Linked DNA regions of Ovis aries. The protein of the gene in region 1 interacts with the protein of each later gene in a pairwise test. Links are inferred from orthologs where the notes say so. Each region holds a gene or a part of one and is shown in the gene's direction. Other genes may lie near its edges.

What was found. The genes of interacting proteins can lie anywhere in the genome.
Region 2: the proteins of FHL3 (region 1) and SAXO1 interact in binary tests that used the Homo sapiens proteins (3 or more experiments, as listed by UniProt). The two-hybrid records come from large-scale screens. The link is inferred for Ovis aries from reciprocal best matches to the Homo sapiens genes FHL3 and SAXO1.

What each region holds. Positions count from the first base shown.
Region 1 is NC_056054.1:12,739,696-12,742,285, reverse strand, and holds the end of FHL3 (four and a half LIM domains protein 3), read left to right. Parts: intron 1-741; coding exon 742-911; intron 912-1,025; coding exon 1,026-1,502; 3' UTR 1,503-2,080; downstream 2,081-2,590. UniProt on the Homo sapiens protein: Recruited by SOX15 to FOXK1 promoters where it acts as a transcriptional coactivator of FOXK1.
Region 2 is NC_056055.1:87,518,638-87,522,293, reverse strand, and holds the end of SAXO1 (stabilizer of axonemal microtubules 1), read left to right. Parts: intron 1-1,977; coding exon 1,978-2,978; 3' UTR 2,979-3,150; downstream 3,151-3,656. UniProt on the Homo sapiens protein: May play a role in the regulation of cilium length. Stabilizes microtubules at low temperature.

The sequences.
Region 1 (2,590 bases):
TGCATGTGCGTGGGACTGGCATGCCTGTCTGAGGCTTGATAAAGAACTGCCCATGCCACAGGTTCCTGGAAATTGTGTGCAGGATCTGTTGTGCCTGTTTGCTCTTTGGAGCTTAGCACGTGCAAGGACTGACACGCATGACACACACCTGGGGAAATAACACATTTGGCACACATAGTGTACTGAGACTGTCAGTGTTTGTTGCCTTGGGGCTTGTGTGCAAAGACAGAAAAGACAGATACATAGAGGACTTAACACGTGTGGCGACCTGCATGGCTGATAGAATGTGAGGATTTAGAACATGGAGATAGGCATGATGAGGATATGGCCGGGCTTCCTATGTACTGAATCTATCATGTCCTAGACGTTAGACTCGCTTGCCTCGTAGATGGGGTCTCTGTGTGTGTGCTCACACTATCACATCTGGTGTATAAGGGCTTGCTTAGCATACACTGAGTCATCGCGCCCATCACCTGGAGGCCTGGTAGCAGCTGAGGTCATCATATTCTGGGACATGTGAGGACTTCACTTAGGCCAAACCCTCAGGTCACATGCTCAGCCAGCATGTCTGGTGTTGGGGGAAAGTTAGCATGTGCAACATACGAGGTGGGGACCCTGGTGAAAATGCATGGACACCACCTTCAAGGCTGCGGGAGCAGCAGGGACCCTCCTGGAGGGTAGCAGAGGGTGGCACTCAGGAGCTTGGGACACAGCCTCTGACGGGACCCCTGTCCCCCACAGGGTCCCGGAAGCTGGAGTATGGAGGCCAGACGTGGCATGAACACTGCTTCCTGTGCAGCGGCTGTGAGCAGCCGCTGGGCTCCCGTTCCTTTGTGCCCGACAAAGGCGCTCACTACTGCGTGCCCTGCTATGAGAACAAGTTTGCTCCTCGCTGCGCCCGCTGCAGCAAGGTGGGGGCGGCGTGGAGCTCCACTGCACTCAGGGGAGGGGGTGAGCAAGGCTCTGTTGTTGCGGGGTGGGAATCCCCACGCCTCCCCCTCTGCTGACAGAGGCTGCCCCCACAGACGCTGACACAGGGTGGCGTGACATACCGTGACCAGCCCTGGCATCGAGAATGCCTGGTCTGCACTGGGTGCCAGACGCCCCTGGCAGGGCAGCAGTTCACCTCCCGAGAGGACGATCCCTACTGTGTGACCTGTTTTGGAGAACTCTTTGCACCCAAGTGCAGCAGCTGCAAGCGCCCCATCACAGGTGGGTCAGGGGGTCCAAAGACCGAATGGGTCGGGTGTAGGCGGAGGCGGGGGGGGGCAGGGGATCTGGTCTCCATGAGGCCAAGGGACAGGACCGCCCTCCAGACGGCAGCACTAATCCTCAGCCTCCCTCCAGGACTCGGTGGAGGCAAGTATGTGTCCTTCGAAGACCGCCACTGGCACCACAGCTGCTTCTCCTGCGCCCGCTGCTCCACCTCCCTGGTGGGTCAGGGCTTCGTGCCGGATGGAGACCAAGTGCTGTGCCAGGGCTGCAGCCAGGCAGGGCCCTGAGCCAGGGCTCCGGGACTAAGGCTTCTCCTCCAGACCGCCTCTGGGACCCAGCCTTTCCCCAGTTTGGGGCTCCCCTTGGGTTCCAGGATTCAGCCTCCCCACTCCAGCGTCCTCAATCTGGTACTTCCTGACCCAGGGCCCCCAAACTTGGGCTCTCCCGGAGCCTTCATCATTCAAACCCCCTCCTCAAATCTGAACTCCAGAACTCTGTCCTCTCCCTTTGGGTCGGGCTTGCTTCCCAGACCAAGCCCTTTCTCCAAATCAGGGCTCTGGGACCCAATCCCCCTTCAATGTAGACTTGTCTACAAAGACTTTAGGTCTCCTTTGGGTGCCTGAGAGGTCCTCAAAAGTCAAATATACTCAGGCTTGACGCTCCCCACCCCTGTCCCACTGGGATCCCCAAGGATGGGGCTGTCTGGGCAGCACTGGTTAGGGGGTCCTAGGGTACAGGTTTTTGCCCATCCCGTGTTGTGTTTTCTCTTTTCATTTCAGCTCCATTTTGCCCAGAGATGGGCAGAGGGGTGGGTTTGGCTTGCCCCCGTTTCAGATTCTGCAATAAAGCAGTATGAGAAAGTGAAGGCCTCTGTTTGGCTGGGGGTAGGGGGAGCGGGCGGAGGTGGGTGGAGGGGCAAGGAAGGTTCCTTCGCCATAGCTAGGGAATTCGGAGGCTCTTCCCACCTCCTCCCCGCAGGACAGAAGGAAGCTTCCAGGCGGGGTGGGAAATCTCTCCAGAGAAAGGGGATCCCCGCCGCCGCTACCGTCCCTCTCTGGTTTAGCCGGCCTCCCTTCCACCTCCCCCGCCTGCTGGCAAAGGGCTTTTTCCTCCAGTGAGGAAGGGAGGGATTTAGGGAGTTTGCGGACCGGAGCCGGCGCGGGGGCGGCTGGTGTTGGGTTCTCCGTCAGGTACAAGTCACTCCCCTCCCTTAACAGCCCCCCACGAACCCCACGGAGCATCCAGTGCGAATCCCGAGTCTGGGCCCAGACCCTCAGCCCCCTTCCCCCTCTTTCCTAGGATTAGCGGAGGCGGCCCGGGATCCGCTCGCGGCTGCACGTTTTTTGCCAAAAAAGGCAAGGACGCAGCTGCACGC
Region 2 (3,656 bases), on another chromosome or scaffold:
AAGCAAAAGTAGGGAGTCGAGAAACACCTGGAGTAACAGGCAAATTTGGCCTTGAAATGTGGAATGAAGCAGGGCAAAGACTAATAGAGTTTTGCCAAGAAAATGCACTGGTCATAGCAAACACCCTCTTCCAACAACACAAGAGAAGACTCTACACATGGACATCACCAGGTGGTCAACACCAAAATCAGATTGGTTATATTCTCTGCAGGAAAAGATGGAGAAGCTCTATACAGTCAAAAACAAGCACATACACAGATACTCAAAAATTTTAATCATTAGGGCAATGTAAATTAAAATACAATGAGATGCCACTACACACCCACTATAGAATGCCTATAATTAAAAAACAAATCATGATAACAAGTGTTGATGTGCAGAAATGAGAACTTTCATACATTGCTTGGTGGGAATGTGAAGTGGCACGCACCACTTTGGAAAAGTTTGCGGTATGTGGAAAAGTTACACATAAATTAAACATATAGCTTAGCAATTTTGCTTCTTGGTATCTACCTAAGGAAAATGAAAAGATGTAGCCTCACACACACTTGTCTATAAATGTTCCTAGCAGAAATTTTCATAATAACGAAATGATGACAACAATCCAAATGCCCATCAAATGAAGAATGGATAAACAAAATTTACTCTAATACTAGTCAACAATAAAAGGGAGTCAACTGGTGCATGCTACGACAGGGATGGACTTCCTTTACGTTATGCTTAGTGGAGGAAGCCAATACAAAACACTATATATTGTGCAATTCCATTCATAGAAAATGTCCAGAAAAGCCACATTTAGAGTGACCAAGAAATGATTAATTATTGCCCAGGGATGAGAATGAAGATAGCAAATTGGCTTGATTAGATTTTTAGGGTGGTGATGGAAATGTTCTATAACTAGATTAAAAAAAATTCTTTTTATTAAAGTATAGTTGATTTACGATGTTTTGTTAATTTATGTGGTACAGCAAGGGATTCAGCGTAACTAGATTTTGATTATAAATTGTTGCACAACTCAGTAGAAATTATTATGTGCGTAAGATGGTGCATTTTATATTTCTATAAATATAAATGGCACATTTACATTTATACGAATTATACCTCAAGAAAGCTGTTTAAAAAAAGTGTGCCTGTGGACTCCACTGGTATTGGCTATATACCTCAAAGACTACTTTTGTTCTCTTTGTAAAGTTGTAGGCAAGAGAATTCCCTGTGGATTCAGAATTGGTTAGCCAGCGCAGTGCCCCTTATTCCCCTGGAGTGCCATATTTGATGTATGTGGAGTGTATGTGTGATGATAGCAACATGATGGCAATCGCCCCATGGATGACCAGGAGGCCTAGCAAGTCTGGCTGGTGGCTCAGTCACTCTTTGCTGATTCACAAGGGCACCTTCCCTTAGAGGAATGGAACTGTTCTTGGATAAGGGAAAACCAGCAGTTGGACTTCTCTGTTGGAGTCCATTCCATGGGTCCACTCATGGCCCTGGACCCTCTACAGTCCCCACATGCAGCACTGTGGGTGTGATGAGACTCCTATAAATTAGTCTCTTCTGCATGTGTGTGCGTGCTAAGTCACTTCAGTCGTGTCTGACTCTTTGTGATCCCATGGACTGTAGCCCACCAGGCTCCTCTGTCCATGGGGATTCTCCAGGCAAGAATAGTGGAGTGGGCTGCCATGCCCTCCTCCAGGAGACCTTCCTGACCCAGGGAGCGAAACTGCATCTCTTACATCTTTTGCATTGGCAGGCGGGTTCTTTACCACTAGCACCACTTGGGAAGCCTTCTGCTGCACAATAATCTGCAAATACCACAAAGCTGAAACATTAAACCCTTGGTTGAGGTGGTGGCAGGGATCTAGTCTGGTTTTCCTCTGTCTCCTGAAACATCTCCCTGAAGACTGGCTTGTGGCTTCTGGGAATACATGCAGGTTGAGTGATGGGATTTATGAATAATCACCGCCTCTGCTTTATTTTCAGCTGACTATTTACCCTGGAACCAACCAAGACGAGAGCTGCTTCGTCCACCTCACCACTACCGGCCAGCATCAACCAAGTTTGATAGTCGCACCACACAGCAGGACGACTACTCCATGAAGGGCCTGGTGAACACCAGGAGCTGTAAGCCTCCAGCTGTGCCCAAGCTCTGTAACATCCCCCTGGAGGATCTGACAAACTACAAGATGAGCTACGTGCCCCACCCCTTGGAGAAGCGCTTTGTGCATGAGCCAGAGAAGTTCAGACCCTGTGAAATCCCCTTTGAAAGCCTCACCACCCACAAAGAGTCATACCGGGGTCTGATGGGGGAGCCAGCCAAGAGCTTGAAACCTGCCAGGCCTTGTGGGCTCGACACGCCATTTTCTAACACCACTGAGTTTAGAGATAAGTACCAAGCCTGGCCAACGCCCCAGGTGTTCTCCAAACCTCCTGCCATGTATGTCCCTCCTGAAGAGAAGATGGACCTTTTGACAACTGTGCAAGCCCACTACACGTACCCTAAGGGTGCCCCAGCTGAGTCCTGCCGACCTGTGCTCTCGGTCAAGAAGGGTGGCCGCTTTGAAGGCTCCACCACGACCAAAGAGGACTACAAGCAGTGGGCCAGCACGCGGACAGAGCCAATCAAGCCCATCCCCCAGCTGAACCTTCCCACTGAGCCCTTGGACTGCCTGACCACCACACGAACCCACTATGTGCCCCACCTGCCCATGATGACCAAAAGCTGCAAGCCCGTCTGGTCTGGGCCCCGAGGAAATATCCCTGTGGAGGGCCAGACCACATACACCATCAGCTTTACTCCTAAGGAAATGAGTAGGTGCCTGGCTTCATACCCTGAGCCTCCTGGCTACATCTTTGAGGAAATAGATGCTTTGGGGCACAGAATATACCGGCCCGTTTCTCAGACAGGCTCTCGGCGGAGCAGCCGTTTTTCTGTAGGTGATTCAGAAAATCCCAACCAGCAGGAGTTGACAGTGTCAGCCTGATTTTTAAAGGCTGTAATTTAGGAATTGCACAATACTTATAAAATCATATGGTTGAGCTATTCATTGGACCAAAAGAGAAAAAAAAAAAAGAATTCCCCAAAACTGAAAAAAAAATTTCATCGTTGTTTCCTGGACACTTGAATAAAACAAGAATCACTTGACTCAAGAAAAATGACATTTAATCACTGGCTAATCAGTCCCCTAACCCTCCCTCTGCTGTCTCCCCATCTTGGCCCCTTTACCCTGTGCTCATGGAATCAAAGCTGGTCTCTGAGGTTTCCTTCCCATCCAGATGTATTTTACTAGTTTAATCATTGTATACATTGACATTATGATCATCCCTTGCCAAGTATGAAGTGCCAAAGAATAAACTTCATTTTGGGGGGTTTGAATCTGCAGGTCTGTGTGTTCACGCCATGTGCTGTCTACGCAGAGAGCAGGCCGTGTTTCTTGCGACCTCTGGGGATATTTGAGCCTAAGTCTCTTGTTGCCTCCTCATCCTGGTAGGGGTGCCTCAGGCCTGATCTGGAGTCTTGTTTTGGGGCCTCTCTGCCCAGGGCTGCTTCACAGGGCATCTTTCTACCTCTTTACATCATGACATACCAGTAACAGCAGTGTTGTCTGATGGGGTATGAGTCTTGTCGTGAGTCTTGCCCATGAACCGGGCACTCAACTGAA